Linked DNA regions of Tribolium castaneum. Each later gene encodes a partner of the first gene's protein in a complex. Links are inferred from orthologs where the notes say so. Each region holds a gene or a part of one and is shown on either strand. Other genes may lie near its edges.

What was found.
Region 2: SWIP (region 1) and Strump share a complex: the UniProt entries of both Drosophila melanogaster proteins name them as parts of the WASH complex. The link is inferred for Tribolium castaneum from reciprocal best matches to the Drosophila melanogaster genes SWIP and Strump.
Region 3: SWIP (region 1) and wash share a complex: the UniProt entries of both Drosophila melanogaster proteins name them as parts of the WASH complex. The link is inferred for Tribolium castaneum from reciprocal best matches to the Drosophila melanogaster genes SWIP and wash.
Region 4: SWIP (region 1) and CCDC53 share a complex: the UniProt entries of both Drosophila melanogaster proteins name them as parts of the WASH complex. The link is inferred for Tribolium castaneum from reciprocal best matches to the Drosophila melanogaster genes SWIP and CCDC53.

Annotation. Positions count from the first base shown.
Region 1 is NC_087403.1:8,604,702-8,609,542, forward strand, and holds the start of SWIP (WASH complex subunit 4), read right to left. Parts: upstream 3,288-4,841; 5' UTR 2,839-3,287; coding exon 2,787-2,838; intron 2,736-2,786; coding exon 2,608-2,735; intron 2,559-2,607; coding exon 2,399-2,558; intron 558-2,398; exon of another isoform or gene 1-557. Other genes in the region: scramb1 (phospholipid scramblase 2), read right to left, coding at 3,675-3,734, 3,788-4,114, 4,165-4,382. UniProt on the Drosophila melanogaster protein: Acts at least in part as component of the WASH complex which may regulate wash nucleation-promoting factor (NPF) activity and is required for its membrane targeting during endosomal sorting.
Region 2 is NC_087394.1:25,592,797-25,597,879, forward strand, and holds the start of Strump (WASH complex subunit 5), read left to right. Parts: upstream 1-1,621; 5' UTR 1,622-1,828; coding exon 1,829-1,950; intron 1,951-1,997; coding exon 1,998-2,100; intron 2,101-2,144; coding exon 2,145-2,336; intron 2,337-2,388; coding exon 2,389-2,600; intron 2,601-4,945; coding exon 4,946-5,083. Other genes in the region: tRNA dimethylallyltransferase, read right to left, coding at 1-222, 575-712, 1,186-1,305. UniProt on the Drosophila melanogaster protein: Acts at least in part as component of the WASH complex which may regulate wash nucleation-promoting factor (NPF) activity and is required for its membrane targeting during endosomal sorting.
Region 3 is NC_087403.1:4,500,786-4,504,831, reverse strand, and holds wash (WASH complex subunit 1), read left to right. Parts: upstream 1-1,442; 5' UTR 1,443-1,543; coding exon 1,544-2,626; intron 2,627-2,684; coding exon 2,685-2,873; 3' UTR 2,874-2,922; downstream 2,923-4,046. Other genes in the region: adenosylhomocysteinase-like 1, read left to right, coding at 1-55, 105-225, 273-279; uncharacterized protein LOC103314773, read right to left, coding at 2,963-3,005, 3,056-3,204, 3,251-3,303, 3,348-3,447. UniProt on the Drosophila melanogaster protein: Acts as a nucleation-promoting factor by activating the Arp2/3 complex to induce actin polymerization. Participates in both linear- and branched-actin networks.
Region 4 is NC_087402.1:710,766-715,645, reverse strand, and holds CCDC53 (WASH complex subunit 3), read left to right. Parts: upstream 1-1,723; 5' UTR 1,724-1,854; coding exon 1,855-1,905; intron 1,906-1,965; coding exon 1,966-2,130; intron 2,131-2,201; coding exon 2,202-2,440; intron 2,441-2,490; coding exon 2,491-2,533; 3' UTR 2,534-2,613; coding exon of another isoform or gene 2,614-2,751; 3' UTR 2,752-2,797; coding exon of another isoform or gene 2,798-2,971; 3' UTR 2,972-3,139; coding exon of another isoform or gene 3,140-3,142; 3' UTR 3,143-3,854; coding exon of another isoform or gene 3,855-3,959; 3' UTR 3,960-3,960; downstream 3,961-4,880. Other genes in the region: RpL36A (large ribosomal subunit protein eL42), read right to left, coding at 2,614-2,751, 2,798-2,971, 3,140-3,142; acidic leucine-rich nuclear phosphoprotein 32 family member B, read left to right, coding at 3,855-3,959. UniProt on the Drosophila melanogaster protein: Acts at least in part as component of the WASH complex which may regulate wash nucleation-promoting factor (NPF) activity and is required for its membrane targeting during endosomal sorting.

The DNA.
Region 1 (4,841 bases):
CTTTTTTATACAGGGTTATTCGTATTTATGAGCCAATAAATAAACCTCAAAAAGGACCTATAAAATGATGCCAATTGAGATTATAACTCGTGTCCTATCGAAACTTATAAGAATTTTACAGTCCTGGGAATTAGGAGTATGGAAAGACGTTTTTGCACCATAACTTTGGAACAATTTGACCAAATATTACAAAACATGGTAGATTTACTAAAGAGAACATGCCTTTTAATTTGGTAATAACAAAAAATTATTCGCAATTGATTACTTTATCGATTTAAGCAATAAAAAAGTAGTGTTAAGAGGGCAAAAAATTAAAAAACAAAAAACAAAAAATGTAACCCAGAAATGCTGCAAAACACCCTGTACTAATTTAAATCAATCAAGCTTAATTAATGAGTCTATTAGACCTTGCTCAACACGTACCTAGTAATAATGTCATCAAAAAAGCACTATTTCCATTTTTTAGTAATTTTTAAGATGTAAAACTGATTTTTTTTTGGTTTTTATTTTTTTAACAGTAATCCCTGAACTGATTTGAGAAGGACTTTATGGAGATGTAATAAGCTAAAAAGGTATCATAATAAACACAAAAAAATAATAGCATGCTATTAAAAAAATATTATAACGTCATACTTTTTTGAAACAATCTGTATAGTCAAAAATATTTTCCGAAAATGTGTCCTAGAGTATAAATATCATCTACAAAATATTAAAACATCACCTTATAAGTATAATAACCGAGCTACAGAAGATGGGAGCTGGCCTAAACTACCCCGTATTTTAATTTTTTTAATAAAATGTATGCATTGTTAAAAAAATAACATTTCAAAAAAAGTAGGACTTTCACCACTTTAAACAAGAATGTTCAATTTTTAAGGACATAATTTTTTTAGCTCACGAAATCAAGAAAACAAAAAAATTAAGAGGTTTGTTAAAAGATGAATAACTTAAATTTTTTAAATAAAACACCCTATTTTTTATTTTTACTCTATATGTGTACCTAAAAACAATAACAGTTAAGTGCCTCTTGCTGTTTACTCAAAAGATATTTAACTTGTAAGCATTAAAAAAATCATTAAAAATTATTAAAGTACCATTGTTTCAGTAGTCGAAAAGTGAAATTTTCAGCTAATAATAACTTTGATGCCATTATTCGTCATTCCTTGCAGTAAAAAAATAATTACAATTTTAATATTTATGATAGATTTTTAAATGCCTGCATAAAACTCTAACAAATGATCCGTGGTGGAGTTGCTATGGTTATGGTAACCATATGGTAAACCATGGTTATGCTTTACTATGGTAACGGCAATGCTCATGAATCTTTTCCATTATTAACTTAGGGTATTCGAAACTTTATGTTTTTAGATAGATTTCATAATCCTTGAGAAGCAAAAACAAAAAATAGGGTGTTCCCCTATTCACGTTATTTAAATATTAACAAACATCATAATTTTTCTACGTTTCTAATTGAAATGCGTTAATCAATTGGTACCGATTTAAGTTTGAACATTCTTCTTTAATGTAGTCAAAGTCCAACTGTTCTAAGAATCTTACGTTTTTGAGCAATACATTTTTAAAAAGTGCGTGTTTTTTTTAAATATTTCAAAAACTAAGCAAAATTGACCAATAAAAGTTAAGTCTACACTCTAAATCATTGGTTCTAAAATCTACATCCAAAAATGCAAAAAAATGTAGGATGTTCAATTGAAAAAACATAAGTTTGCACTGTAGCTAATTTCGGAATCATCCTGTATATTTGAAAATTCTTTCAGGTAAGGCAGGGGGTTAGTATTTATGGCTTAGGGAAAAATATTACTTTTCTAACATTGTTTAAAGGTGAATAATAGTATCTGTTTAACAAAATGGTTCCCCTCCACATTATACGAATGATTTCCTATTTATTGCCCTAAAGAAGCCCCAAAAACGTCAGTTATAAATTATATAACCAAAATAAGCTTGTCTGTCTTCAATAATTAATTACACCACAGCGAATAGTGGATTTTACCTACCCACTGGGACAACCTGTATATAGGGGATAAATTAAATGTAGTAGAACCTCTATAACCCGAACTAATTGTTGCCAAAAGTTCGCCCGAATAACGATTTTTTGCTGTTTTCTTCCTAAGAGTGTTTCTACCTTTCCTTAATAAATTAATATTAATTTAACTTTTTAATAATAAACAAGTGGTAAATTAACTATAACATGATGCGCAATGCATAAAACGTGGTCGTTTTAGAAATAAAAGGATTATTAAATAACAAAACACTGCGCAATAATTTTTAAGTCGTATCTCAATTACTTTGAGAAATACATATATTATTTAATTTTTCCCACCCTGTTCATATCTCGGATTGAATTTTTGTGACAAGATTTGATCAGTTTATATAATCGTACCTTCCCCATAGAAAACAAAAACGGGATAGTACGTCCTGGCTTCCTCCACTAGTAAATTAATTTCTTCACAAACAGCAGCTAAACTGGCCAAAATTCGACTCAAAAGCTTATTATCTGAGTGTACTAAATGCAACAGAGACACATTTTCAGTTCTAGAGCTCTAAAATCACAAATATTTAAAAAAGCCCCTCTTTTTGCACCGATTGAACCTGAAGTAAAATTGGCTCTAATCGCACGTTGAATCTATTTGGAAGCTTCTCTTTAAAATGATTTAAATCAGCACTGTACTTATCTAAAAAATTGCCGTACTGAAGCAGCTGTACTTCACCAATTAATCCTAAAATATGGTTTTATAAAATTTTGCAGAAAGTTAGGTTATGTTACTCACTATTGGTTTCAGCATTTAATTTCTTCTCAGCTACATCTCGGGGTTCAAGCATTTTATTGACGTTTTAAGCGTACACAGTTTCTATTACAGTAATTATAACATTGTTTTAAAACGTTTAAAAAGAAAACAATTTTAATAACACAACTACCAACTTAAAGCACATTTTGACAGGTTGACGACAACAGGAACAGAGGTTGGAACCACTTTTGAAACATCCCTAGGACGCCAAGCATGCGCACTAACACCAACCCACCAAAATAAAAATAATATTTAACAAACGGATCTTCTACTTTTTTGTTTCAGTTTTACTTTATTATAATTGTGTACCGTTTGCTAAATAAAACTTTATTTACTGCACGACAACCAGACAGCTTTGCCCGTTATTTCATTTAATAATACAATTATTACAATTTTACTTACCTGCTTAAGAATATGAAATTCTTTATTTTGAACATTTTGAAAATCAATGCGACCAGCAATATGGACTATTACGTTAGCTTTAATTATGTAATAAGAAGTAAAGGGGTCCGGAAAAGTACTACTTTACGTACTATTTTGGGCATAGTTTCAGTAACATTTAACAGAGAAGCGTTAGGTGTAATTGTAGTGCAACAGAATATGAAAAATGGAGTTAATAAATGAAAAGCAACTAATGGTAACGTTATATTGGTAAATTGTACAATTATTACGAGAATATAATATGTAAACAGTTAGTTATAGTATTAAGAATATATATAATATATTAATTTATAGTCGGGAAGGCCATTTTCTAAGCATCAGTTAATAATATTAAATTGACACGTCTTTATAAATTCAACAATAAAAAATACATTGTGCAACGACGCTTAAAATAAAAATTAACCACACAATCACATAAATGCACAAAAATTAAAGCATGCCTGGAGAATCCTCTTCTTTGTTTCTCGACTTTTCAAAGAACATAGCATCCTAAAAAGAGACAAAATAACATGTGACCAAATTTTCAATATTCTTAGATTTACAATTAAAAAGCAGGCTCCTAGCATAACAGCTTTCATTCTTACGTCCAAGTCCATTGGAAACGTTATCCCAAAATAATCAGTATCGGTAAACATTTCTCTGATAAGACCCGACCACTGTTTGGAAATTTTTCCCACTTGTGTGTTACCATCAGCAGACATTATCTTAAATTCAACGTCTCCACAAATACTGAACGTACAAAACGGTCCTTCTATTCGGAGAACCGTTTCGCCACTTGGATTTTTAATCGCGAAACTTGGGCAAAAGATGCTCCATTCCTGCTCCACACTTCCTACAACTGTGCCAGGAGGCGCTGAAACTTCTATGCTCTGGAATGAATGAATGAAATGCAAGAAATTCGCGCGGAAATCGACTGTACTTGGAGGCAGCACGGGAAACAACAAGAATCACACGCTAAAGGACGGTGCAAATGAATCACTTCGTTTTTGTAATTGTCTAAAATGTTCATGTCGAACGGCCGAATTGGACCGCAACAGTTTCGAGTTAAACAATCGGAGTCTTCGACGGCGTAATATACTTTTTGGCCTAAGCTGTTTTTCACAGTAAATTTATTTTTGGTTTCGAATCCAGTGAGAGCTGAAACGGGTTTGGGTAATGCATAGTCACTCAAAATGAAAATGACGCGTCCATGCACCAACAACCTGTCTTCAATTTTTTTTGTTGGTTAGAACAAACGACAAATAAAAAAGAAAGTAAAAAAATACAAATTTAACTAATCAATTATTTGCCACGTAACAAACAATTCTTATTTTATTTCTTTAGAATACCATTTCGAATTAATGAACAAAACTAAAGATTAATTAAATTATTCGACGATTTTTTGGCTTATTACTTATTAATAAAACGCAAAAATTCACAAATGAACAAAAAATGGGTTCAACAACTTAAAAAAGTAGAAATAACTTCTTTTTAGACTAAATTATTGACAAAATTTCGCTTAAAGACAAGCGAAATCGAGTGGAACCGGCACAGTAACATTAACTTTGTTTGATTTTTGTGATTGTGAGGCGTGTTTTGACAAGATCTTCAAAATAA
Region 2 (5,083 bases), on another chromosome or scaffold:
CTTGTTGTTGGGGTGCAGCCTGCGGGCCATGGCGGGGTCCAGAAGCTGCAATTTTTTGTGCAGCTCTTCGCTGGATAATTCATGGTCGATGTGTCTGGATGGTAGCGCTTTTACATGGTCCCCGGGTTCTTCAATTAAAATTTTCCACAAGAGGGACTCGATATAATAATTAGTTCCACCAACGATGATGGGTAATTTATTTTTATTTATTAAATTCTCGATCTGAATAAAATTTAAGGAATCTTGGGGAAAAAAGTGGGGCATTCTTGCTTTTATGGCTAATAAAATTCGGGCGTTTGATATGCAAAAAATGATTCATTTGTTCCGGGGATTAATTATTTTTTCAAATATGCTTCATGAATAAAACACCTGCTGCAGAGAGGAGGAAATAGACGCAACAGCTGAAATTGTAAGTAGGACCTAAATTTATTTTATAGTAATTTTATTTCCAAGGTCACAAATTTCGGTTTCAGCCTTGATTGTGTGGTGTAATGGACTACACGTGGAAATGGGTAGAGGAAACAAGTGACGAAATAAGCAAACGTGTTAAAATTTCTTAATTTCTGAAGGATACAATTTTTAAAGCGCTATTTCGGTACTGGACCACCGTAAAAGTCTCATGAGGCTCCAGAATGTCAATTAGGTGGTGAGGGGCCACGTTTTGTTCCTCTTTCGTTGCTTTCGCTGTTATAATATCGAGGCCTTTGTACACCTACATAATTTTTTGTTACGTATTTCGGAAAATAATTAATTAACTTTTAATGTCGTTGAACTTGGGTAAGTAAACATTTTCAAACATTCAACCGCAATGAAATCATAATTCAGACGATGATTTATTATTCCGACCTTTGCTCGGGACTTCTTTCATACAGGTGTTAACTTTTCGTCAAGTTAATCATTCTAAGTGCTAAAACAATTTGGTAGCCTTGAACGTGACACAATGACCGAGCAAGGCTACCGCCTTTGTTTACATGGAGTTTACGCCAATTTAACAATTTCTCATGTTTGAGACGGGCGGAATATTGTTAGAAAATTAAAAAAGTTATTAAATTTAGTGACCTTGAGTTATGCAACCCATTATGCAAGGTGTATAATTGGTTGCACACCGATTTAAATCAATTTTACCCATTTTTTTGTGATAAAAAAACAGAATTAAATAAATCATGAATTAAAATAATTAAATACCTGCATCGAGTCTGCACTTATTATCTCCCCTTTAAATTTCTGCGCCAGTTCAAGGGATAATTTGGTTTTACCCGAACCGGTAGCCCCCAAAATAACAACTAATGGTAACCTAAGGGCCATTATTGGGCACTAACAAAGTTTTCTCATTTATTTGGGGCTGGAATTAATAATTTTCACAATTAATTAACTTTTACACAACACGTGTTTTTTTTTAACAATTTATGAATAATTTGTACTTGACACTGTTAATAATAAATAAAAATTAATAGTATAATTACCTGATATCAAAATTAATAAATGTTGTTGTTTTTTGAGTTTTTATACCTCGTGTTTTGGCACTTTTTCTCAAAACTAACCTCAAAATGGACTGTCAGCTGATTGTACACTACAAGTCACTTTTAATGACCCCTGACTAATTTTCGAAAATTTAGATTTACATATGAATAATAATTGTGGTGTGTTGTATCGGGTGCAAGTATGTAAACGGTTGTCCAATTAATTCTGTAATTGGATATTAAATACAATCGTGTTTTCGCAAGCTCATTATTTCGTCCTATGACTGTACAACCTGTTAATAACTGTCATCAAAAGTGAGGTTATCTGTGATTTTTTTTATGTAAATAAACAAGATTTTTTCACGAAAATGCCGGATTTTCTGGCAGAAAATAACATTTGCGGCCAGACAATTCTCCAGTTAGTCTCACGAGGCAATGCCATCATTGCCGAACTGCTCCGCTTGAAAGACTACATCCCCCAAACTTACAGGTTTGCAAAACTAAAAATTTGATTTTTCTTGTATTAAACACTTGCAGATTGGGGAGCAAGGAAGAGGTTCAAAAATACGGCGAGATAATCATGGACTTTAGCTATTTTAAAATTGAGGAAGCGCAGAATTACAAAATTGAGAATTCGGAGGTAAGGCTGTTTTTGGACAGAGAAACTAAATTAAAAAAGTGTAGTTGTTGCAAGATTTGGATGAGGAGTTTCGTGATAATCACATCGAGATGATTAATCGGTTTTATCTCACGTTTGAAAGCATCCACACTTATATTACGGATTTGAACCACTTTCTTGACGAGTTGGAGGAAGGGTTATATATCCATCAGAGTCTAGAGACGATTTTTGCCGACATGGAGGGGAAACAACTGCTTGTAATTGGTTTTTACGTAATTGGGGGGCCAATGACGGAGTTAATTTTTCTAGTGTGAAGCTTTATTTTTGTACGGTTTAATGCTGCTAATCATAGACACGTATATAGAGGGCCCCATCCGTGAGAGACTCCTAGTGTCTTACTATCGCTACACTCCGCAAAGAAGCGACACTCAAAGCCAAATCGACGATGTTTGCCGATTATTACGCGACACAGGGTTTCACACGGCGAAAAAACCCAATAATTATCCTGAGGATTATTTCCGGTAGGTTTGTAATTCAATTCGCTGCTCTAGTGAACAGGTAACTTTGTTCTTACCAAAGTGTCTCACTTCGAAAAAATTACTAGATATGATGAAATTTCATTAGGCCTGGCAAGGCGACAGACATCTCGTGATTTTTAAATTAGTTATAATTTGAAAATACACAACCTTCTTTGGTGAACAGAATTTCAGAAGTCGATGGATTCAGGGATGTAATTATTTTGCATAAATATTATTATTTTGTAAAAGATACGACGAAAAATCGCCAAATTGTGTCTGAAAGGATGTAATTTTTACATTTTACGAGAATTTAAGAGGTTTTTAAATTAGGGTTTTGTGGAGTGTCGCGTAACCGGGTCGAAAAATCACTGAATTTTGGTGCATTTTTCAGCCAGAAATATATTTGTTTAGCGCAATTTCATCAAAAATACCCCTAAAATTGCCAAATTATTGCGAAAAATGAGTAGTTTTTTTTGCAAACTTTTGCTATATCGACTTGCAAAGATACTAAGTTGTATCGAAAATGACATCTTATTTTTGCATTCTATCCAAAACTTTTGGTGAAAAATAGGTCGAAGAAACACCGTTTTAGGCCCAAAATAACGTTAGTTCAATATGCTTTCAGCTAGAGACTGCATTATGTTAAAAATTTAAAAAATATGCAATTTTTGAATGCTAAACCACTTCTTTGATATAGAACGCAGTTTTTTTGTAAAATTTTGCTAAACTTTTGTTTAAACAAACACAGAATTGGATAGAAAATCATATTATATTTAGTCGTGATTACTGTATAAGCCGAAAAATCGCCGCTTTAGTATTTAAACAAAATTTTTGTTTAAATGTTGTTATTTTTGTCTTTCCCCATCTATGTATACTTACTTAAAGTCAGAGACTCAATTTCCTCAAAAATTATACAATTTTTGAATAGAAACGTGTAATTTTGCTGTACCATGTTGAAAAAACTATAAATTGAAATTGGAAAATGACATTTTTTGCCGTTTTGTATACAAAGCGATCAAAACGCCCTTCTTTCAAGTAGGCGTACAATTTGAGAACGTACAGTTGTGAACACAAAAAAAATGGGACAAGTCTTGTAGCAGATTCTCGATAAAAGTTAGTTCATTAAAACGGATTTTCATCTTAAGTTTTATTTGGGAATAAAATTAACTAAACGTTCTTTGGTGACGACATTTCGTACTTGCCGAAAACAGTACTGTTAATTTCTTACATTAGAGTTTAAAAGTATGTGGTGGTAAATACTAGTATTGCGTTTAGTTGTGCATTTTTTCGTGATTATAAAGTATTTGTGGATAAAAAGTGAAACAGATTTTATTTATGATTACAAAGTGTTATTAAAACAATTGCGTAATCAAAGACTATACGTATTAGATTATAATTTATAACGGAAAGCGAACACATGTTGGGCTCAAAACAAAAACAGTTAATTATTATTGAAGTGTGTGAATTTGAAGTTAGAATTTTTCCACTGAAAAAAAACATGAAACACTTGCGTGAATCTACAGAACTGATGAAGATTAACAACTGCTGATACATTTAAGCATAAATTGCTCTAAAAGGTAGGTTTTCAATATCTTGTTAATAATTATAATACAATAAAGTAAGTGAACAAACAGTCATTCCGTTATTCGTGTTTTTCTTGTGATTTCTAATGTGTCAAAATTCGTACCTTGCACCAAATATACAATAGCCCAAAATTCATACAATGCTCTAAGTATCTGAATAAATATTCTCCCGCCAAAAATCCAAAGTAATCAAAACTATCATCGTCAACATTAGCAATTTGGTTAAAAAGGAAATAATTTCTAAAGCTAAGAAAGGTTTCTAATCAAAAGCAAGATTAATTTACAGAATTAATTCTAATTATAATTAGAATCTCGATCGCCACGAGAATAATTATGTTACACCAGCGAAAAAAATAACTGACGTTATTATACGTAATAGTAAATCGTTTTTATCCCAAAATAGTCTTAAAACATTTAACTGGATTTTCTAAATACACCTCTTGAAAACTTGCAACATAACAATAATTTGCTTAATTTTTTTGACATTTGGCTTGGGTTCTACGCCTACTTAATAGAAGAACTTTTCGATCGCTTTATATTAGCACGAATCCAAAATTTTTCTTGAAAAATCCCTGCTTTTTGGCTCAAAAATCTAACTACAGTTTTCAGCTAGAGACCCGCTTTTATCAAAAAATATACACATTTTTTACCTCAAAGAGGTGCAAAAATACAAAAAATATATTAAGTAAGCTGTGTGTTCACTGAAGTTAAGAGCAAAGTTCCCTGTCCATTCAAAAACAGTAAAAAATAAATAAATATTTGTAGACGCGTTCCTCTTAAACCGAAATACGTTGACATCGTAATCGGTCATTTGCGCTCCGACGACATCTACGGACAATTATCAGTGTACCCCCTTCCGAAACACCGAAGCACCGCCCTCGCCCACCAAGCCTCAATGCTTTA
Region 3 (4,046 bases), about 4.1 Mb from region 1:
AACGCCCCAGCGGGGCGTTACAAATCTGACGTTTATCTTTTACCGAAAAAAATGGGTATTGACCTTAGGTTTGAGTGGGAAAAATTCTAATCAAAGTTTTATAGATGAGTATGTAGCGAGTTTACATTTACCGACCTTTGATGCCCACTTGACTGAATTGACGGACGAACAGGCTAAGTATATGGGCCTAAATAAAGCTGGACCTTTCAAGCCTAACTATTATAGGTAAGCGGGTTTGGCTTGATTGCCGATTATTGATGTTTTCGTTTAAGGTATTAAAAATATAAAGTTTTATCCATAATAAACGGGGTGAAGGAATAAAGGAACACGGTAGCATTAAGTCAATGTTAGTTGTTGCCAGATAGTTTAGCTATAATAAATGCAGGATTGATCATTTTTTAATGGTTGCTCAACCAATTCATGTTTCATAATTTTACTGAATCAAAAGTATTATTACTTAACACAAACAGTATTTTTTCTGCTAGTATTTATTTACATATCTCAGGATTTTATGAAACATTAATTGTGAAAAAATCGTTACGTTGTTTCAACTGTTGATTCATGGGTAAGGCTTCTGATCTTATTTAATTTTAATAAAAATTGGCGCAATGTTGAAACGCCTTCCCGTGAATAAAAATACGTTACTTACATGTTTGAAACAAAACTCGTGCATATGTAATCACTATCAGGTCTAGTATGTCATTGTTTTAGTTGTATTAAGTTACGTACTTAACTCGTTCTGGTTTTATTAATGGATTTAATAAGTGTATCTGATTGATTTTGTGATGAAGTCCAATGGTTTGTTTGTTTTGTCTCATCCCAGACGCTAGTCCAGTTGAATTGATACGCTTTTTATTAAGTAGTGCCAACACCCTCTAGCACTAAAATAATTTAAATGCAACCAGTTTGTTTAGCCGTTTTGACGTTAGTGATTTTGGAAAGTATTATTTTATAATGAGGATTTTTTACGGTCCTCCACATTTTAAATTATTATTGTTATTGTCAATATTACGACAAATTGTTACAAGTTAATTGCTCTACTTGAAGAAATTACTGAAGCAATTATACTCCACAATAACTTGCCTTTATCAACTTACAGCAGAGCAATCAACAACTCTTGTTAAGAAACCGGAATTGCGACTCTGTTTTTGAAGGCTGTTTTAAGGCTTTCAAAGACAGAATTGTCACATTTTTAAACGTACTTCTGTATACAAATTATCTTTAGATCTATATCTTTCTTTCGATATTTTATTTTAATCCACAAATCACATCATTCACAGCGTGACCCACGGGTCCGCCGTCTTCTTCTTTCTATGCCGTAATATAGAAATTAATACGTCAATGTGTTTTATTTTTATTCCTAAAACCTAAAACAATTTTTTGTCCTAACACAATTTGAAATTACTAGTAAATGTTAATTTATTGAGCTTGCGAATGGCGACACTGCTGTGATAAGATGACGTAAAAAACAAAACATAACCTGCAAAAAGTGTAGAGTGTAGTGTCATTTTTTTAATTAATTAATGTAGTTAGTTTATTTAAAATGAATCATGTTTACAAAGTACCTGTAATCCCTCAAAACTTGAATAAACAGGAAACAATCGTTCAGGTGGCTGAAGTATTAAATCATTTAACGAACGTAACAGATGACATATTAAAACATATAAATAACAGAATTGAATCTAGCAGAAAAAAGATATCAAACATATCCGAACGTGTCGATAAAGTGAAAATGAAAATAAACAAATTGAACGGTGCAAAAAAAGCAACACAAGTGTTTTCAAGTTGTAAATACCCAGCGTCCGATGTAAATCAACCCTATATTTCAATATTTAGCGACGTTAAACCTCCTGAATTAGTACGACATAAAGTGAAGCAGAAAAAAGCCCCATCAAACGATGAACATTTAGATAAATTGTACATCTACCACGTGAAACTCAAAAAAAATGAGAACAAAGAGACGTTCGGCGGCTTGGGGGAAATCCCCAAAGACTCGGAATGCGTAAACGACCTACTCCTCTACAATTCCGGCAAAAACCTCTACACGAATTTCGTAATGTCCGACCCTTTGGAAATCTCCCAACAAATCAAAGAACAAGACCACAACGACAGTTCGAGCATCGGGGCAGCCCCCTTCTCAATCAGCGAACGCTCAACCCTGACGCGCTCCTCCACCCAGAACTACTTCTACACCCCCAACTTGGGGGAAGTCCCGGCGCTCGACGTGCCCCTGGATCTGCCCGATTTGCCCAACATTGCCGACGACCTGCGGTACGACACGGAGTTGGGCCCCGGGATCGCCCCCTCAGTCACCACGACCCCGAACATCCCCGACCTGCCCACAATCGAACCCGCCAACCCCCAGCCCAAGGAGGACTTCCCCGAAATCGAACTCCCGCCGCCCCCAACACCCGCCAAAGAAATTGAGGAGCAAGTCCCAGAGAAGGTTGAAACGCCCAAACCGCCCACACCACCCACTGAACAGGTGGAGGAAGCCCCCAAAATCACCGAACTGCCCCAGCTGGACGTGCGGGCCAGCCTCATGGAGGCCATCAGGAAAGCGGGGGGCGCCAAAAATTTGAAAGCCACAAGTGCCGACAGGGAGCAAACGACGGCAAAACCCGTGGTTAGTTTTCGACTTTTGTTGATTGAAAAAGTTTAATAATTAGTTATTTGTTTTACAGACTGGGGGCGACTTGATGGCTGATTTGCACGCCAAGCTTTCCATGCGCAGGAAGGGCATCTCAGGTACTAAAAAGCAGGAAAGTTTGGACGCAAGTAGTGCGTTAGAAAAAATCTCGGCCATGATTCCGCCGCCCATTCGTAGCGAGAGCAACGAGAATAATACCGAAGACGAAGACTGGGATGATTAATTCATTTAATATTATATTTTATATCAATAAATATTATCATGTTACATAATGATTGTTTTCTTTACCCAATAAATTAATACAATTGTGCGCTAACTGTAGCAGGAATAACAAACTGCGACATTATGATCGTATCTAAAAAAAAACATTTAATTTTTTGAGCCACTCGGAACAAAGCCACTCACGTGGGAAATGAGCAATCGTTACAAAACCCATTACTGCATTTATGGCACATATTTGTGCACTGCAAACATAACGCGTGTTCACAATAGTTACAAATGACCCCCGAGGGGGCTTCTTTTGAACATACAGTACACATCAGTGAATGAGGTTCCTACAAATCAAATTAATAAAGTCTCACACCGATTCACATATTCTACCTCATTTTTCTCGCGTTTGGAGGCCCCCTTATATAATAACTGGAGCGTCCGCTCTGAAACAAATAATAAAAAACTGACATAACCTCAATGTGGTTACCTGACGACGATGAGCGAATTTTCCGCGATTTTGATAAACTATTTTGTTGTTTTTTCACCGGTTGTACGATATCGTAATCCGGATAAGGCCGTTTTGGCATTTTTTACTCTTAAATTACATTTCAAATCCTCACACTAGCGGCAAAAAATGTGGCAGTGCTGCCAAATGACTGACAGACGAAAAGAAGCGCGAGATGAAAGTTTAAAAATTAAACACAAAAACAAGTCCGTGCTTATTTTTGTGTTAAACATTTTCTAATCCCGTTTTAATACACATTTGTACATTATTTTAGAGGGGCAAAATAATAATAATAAAAATAATAATAATAATAATAATAATAATAATGATAATAATAATAATAATAATGATAATAATAATAATAATAATAATAAAAATATTATTAAATATTATAAATAATCTTTATTATGGGCGAAGTTTAGCCGAAGCTATTCCAACATAATCCTTAATTATAAATAATTATAATCAAGCTTGAATAAAAAAAATAATGAGAATGAAAAGAAGAAAGTAAATAGTAAAAAAAATTTTTTTTTTATATTTTATATACAATTTGTCTGCTTACTTTTTTTTTACTTCTTTGCAAAAACGTTTAAAGGAAGCGGCTTGAAATGCGCAATTAATTTAATGCAGGCATAAATTGCCTCATTTTATAAGTAAACCCCTATTTCGCGAAACTTTTAG
Region 4 (4,880 bases), on another chromosome or scaffold:
AAAACTGATTGGCCGAATTCAGCCAATGAGATTGTTTTACTTTATTACGACGAAACTTGTTTATTGAAATGTTTTATTACTAGTCATAGTTATTTAGTCACTGTTATTTTATTGTTTATTACAATCACAACTCTCTGATGGACAGGGAACTATTTATACGTCAGTTTGGCAATTCAAATTTGACGTGCTAATGTCACAATGTTTATTATTTATGTTTCTGTTTTTTTTTTTGCTTTTTTTGTAAGTTAATTCTTCGAAAATCATTTGAAAAAGTTATTTTATCTAGAGCGGTCTTGCTTTTATGTCATAATCTGACATTAAAACTGTCACTGATGTGTCAAATTTCGCGTTACAGCCTACTCTAGGTATATTTTTAGCTCGTTAAAAGTGACACTGACAGTGCTCATGTCTTATATTTGAATTTTTTAACCTTTTTTTAAATTAAAAAGCCGCGATATGTCGCCTATTACGCCCAAAATCGAAATCCCCCATCCATCAATGGGGCTGTGATCGGAATTATTACACAAAGTTATACAATTTTAAGTGTGTTGATGTTCAATTGTTTGGAAAGTTTAAAGGTAGATTGTTAGTGTTTTCTAAAGGCTTTATATCTTTATATCAGCTGAAGTATTAAAGTTTTTTACAAGTAAACAGTCTTTCATTGCGTCATAAGCTGCAGCCAACTGTCACCGGAATTAAGGTACATGAATGTTTTGCATGATTTTTTCTTATAACTTGTTTTGTTTTATTAATTGGTTGAGCTTATGTTGGCTAACAATTGGTTTGTTTAGTAGTTTTGCGTGATTTTAAGTTAATTTGTGATTTGGCCAATTTATTAATGATTTTTTGTTAGGGACGCACCAACCCTTCCTACTCAACATTCCATCCGAAGGCATTAAAGTCGAGCCCAGAGGTAATTTAATTTTATATTTTTCCCCGCTTTAGTGTTTTTTTCTAGATAAGGCGCCTTCGCCGTACGGCGGGCAGATGTTCGAGGCGCCCATCCCGAACGTGTCGCCCCATTACGTGGCCCCCACGCCCCCGGAAGCCCCTCTGTTCCAGAACGTGCTTCCGCCAATCGGAGGCATGATGAACTGGAATATGCCTTCGACTTCAGTAGTCGGCGATATGTTAAACATGAATTGGAATCCTTCCGCCCAAAATGATCTCAGTGGTGTTAATTTAAGTGAAACGCCAAGTGGTATAAGCAGTTTATTAAATCTGGACAATCAACAATTGGAGTTGAAACCGATTGACTTAAACTCGGGTGATTTAAGCATGCTTGAGACAAATAACTTGTCAGAGACTTTCACCCAAAATCTATCGCTTATGGACGAGAGTGAGGGGCGCCAGGAGCCGAATATGACTGATAGTTTAACGCGATTGGCCAATAGCGCGCTAGATAATATTTGCCAAGCTAGTGATATGTACAAGGGTGCTCCATGAAACCACCATTACTTAAGTCTAAGTAATGCAAAAGCGAGTTCAATATTTGACATTAAATATAACAGTACTGTGTACCGCCCTAAATTCAATGATAGTTTTCTTATAAAATTGTTAAGGTTTGTAGTTTAGTCTATATCAAGTTTATTTATACTGTGATTGTTTTTATATTTTACAAGATGCAATGTTATTTTATAAATCTGGCATAATAAATCTGTTTTATTGAGCGTGTTTGCGTTTGTTAATTGCATAAAAAGCGATCCTTTCGCCACAATCTAACCTCAAACGTCACTTTTGACAGCTGTCACTCAGGTTCTTTGTGTCCCTTTGGAGCCAATTAATTCAATAAACTTGTGCCGATGCCTTGATTCCCCCTAATTTTGAGTGTTTTTCACTCAGATAATGTAAATAATGCAAGTGAACGACCTTTCCTCAATTGATCCAAATGTGGATTACACGCAGGTAAGTCTTTGAAAAAAGCGACCCATTCGAGCAACAATCACGTCCAACTTCTCCACTTAGATTTTACCCATTCAACAAAAGCGCACGATTGCTTTTATCAATCATTTCGTAATGAATACGGTGTCGTTTTTAAACCATTTTGCACAGTCGTGTGAATCGCGTTTGATGGAATTCGAGTACAAACTGCAAGAAGTTGAGGCTTCTTTACTTATACTTGAGTCGCAAGTAAGTATTGAACAATGCTAGAATGCCTTAAGTTCCGATTATTTGGCGCAAAAGTGAGTCGGTTGTGTTAGTTAGGTTCAATTGCGCATTTAGAAGAAAACACTGCAAAGGACTCGCCTAAACAAAACGATTTAGATCTGCCTCCTGTTAAAGACGAGGAGACGCAAATTGAAAAAAATGTAGAGGTAGAGCCTGATGTTGCGTCAGACCCGCGATATCAACGCTTTTTCAAAATGTTGCAATTTGGGGTTCCCCCAGCTGCTGTCAAGCTGAAAATGCAAACAGAGGGACTTGACCCTTGCATATTGGAGTAAGTACTACTATCACTGGCGAATCAGCAACACGTCCGTTATTTTTTAGTTCCAAATCAACTGATACGCAAGACAGTTCCTCGGTTAATTAATTGTGTTAAAAAAACATTGTTAAAAGTATAAATAAAACACGTTATGAATTTTTACAAAATGTGTTTATTTAGTCAAACAATTAGAACTGAATCATTTGTCCCTTGCGCTTCTTGTCGCCACCCAATTCAAAGTGCTTGCAGCGTTTCAAGGGAATCTGTTTCCTATATTTACATTCAGTGCATTCCATCCTGAGCACGATTTTCTTGGTGGTTTTAGCCTAAAAACACACAATAGCCCCACACTCAAAGTAGGTAAAAAAATACCTTCTTCCTGAAGATGGGCTTGGTTTGTCCACCGAAACCTTGCTGCTTCCTGTCGTAACGTCTCCTACCTTGCGAAGCGTGACGTTCCTTGGACTTTTTGTATTGGGTGACTTTGTGCAACTTGTGCACCTTGCATTTCTTGCAGAAGGTGCGCCTCTGCTTCGGGACGTTAACCTAAAAACAATGACATAACCCCACAATTCATCAAACGTCCTCAAAACGCGAAAATAAACAGGAATGTGCCCTTCCAAGGACGCCAAATGCACGAATTCGCTAAATTTTCGGTAATTCAAAGGCCGATTATTGCGATTTTTTGAGATATTTGATTGAAAACCTGCTTACCATCTTGGGATTTTCTTTATTGCAAAAAAAAGAGAGAGATGCAACGTGTCACACTATGCGCATGCGTCGTTTACATTGGCGCGAATTTTGAATTGCTATATTGGATGAAAGATAGAAAAGTGTTTCGTTATAAGTTTATAGAGTTTTAATTCGTTTCACGTGGTCGCAAGGAAAAATAGAAGAAAAAGTTTTTAAGACGCATTTTTGCGGCCACAAGGGAAAGGCGTTTTAATTAGTGGGTAACAAGTCGTGCCGAATAGTTCCCTTTTAAATTGAGTCAATAATCGGCTGTTTTTCTGCATAATAATAAAATGAATGTGATTGTGGAGGGAAATTTTTTGAAGAGCGCCCCTGGCGGTGGCATACTCAAACCACGTTTTTAATCTCGGTCCGGTTCGTAAAACTCAATCCGTGCTCTCGGAACCCTCATGAGCAAACACCTTGCAATTAATTTCATAAAATCTGGCGCACGTTTTTTGGGTCCGAGACACCGAAAAAGCTTGGAATTTGTTGTCTTTTGGTTTTTGGCGGTTGGTGTGAATAAATAGTTTAGGGAGTCGAAAGCCGGTCACTCGTCCAAGTCCGGGGCCGATCGGTTTGAGCGGCGCCATCTTAATTTTTGAACAAAGCTAACGAGTAGCCGGTCAGTAGTGTTCAACGTTGGTGAACGTCACTTTTCGATAAAGCGTGAAACCCACACAGGAATATAAACAAAATGAGTTCGAAAGAAAATAACGAAGTTGCTGTCGAAAAAATCGACAACGACAAAAGTGCGCCCGACGCCAAATGCGAGTTAAAAGGCACGAAGCGAGCGGCGGAGGTGAGTTCGACTGTTTCTTTCGCATTTACGCTGCTTTGCGATAAGGTCACATGGCCGTTGGATGTTGTGGTCGGGATTTTCGCGTGGAAAACGCGCGGAAACGCCGTTTTCACGCGTTTTCCGCGGGATGGTTGCCATGTGAACGGGGCTTTTTCCCGGCGCGGAGGCGGCTTTGCGACAATACGATGCTAAATTTGTTGTTGCCATGGTGTTTTCGACTGTTTTTCATTATGGCATGCGGTGTAAACACGCTTGGAAAGCATCCCGCCATATACAATGGACCCCGGGTTGAGGCTAGCATCGCTTGCTCGATTCAATATGGCGAAATCAATAGCAACTTGGAGGCGTCCTCGTGCGAGGCTAGATGCCACACTAATATTTTAATAACATCGGATTCTAGAAAGATTTCCGCGTGCGAGTTGACGATTTCGTTGCAAATTTCACGATAACCCGGAGATTGACCACTTTGGTCCGGTTTTTCAATGCAAAGCGTCTCATAAAGCTCGCTGGAATCAACAGAGTTGGACATTTTTGATGCTACGCTAACGAGTGGCAAAGATTAAGATCCATCATGGATCAGAATTGTGAATGAAAAGAGCGTTTTTAGTTAGTTTGCTTGTTTATTTCCATTTTCTCGAGCAAGTCGTGGTAGCCATGCTTTCCGCGGCCCACTTGGCGATTTTCTGATCTGACGTATTTTATTTCTCGGAGAAATTTTCCCGCCATTGTCCTTGACGCATTTGAATTTATTTTTGTATTGTATTAAACTTTATTAATTGTTTTTCTTATCAAACGAGATTATCGAACGGTTTTGCAAAAATTCACCCGACATCAAATTGTTTACAAAAATTGCAAACTTTATTTTATTATAATTATCAAGAATTGTCATCTTTATTATATTTAACCTTGTGCCACAGTAGA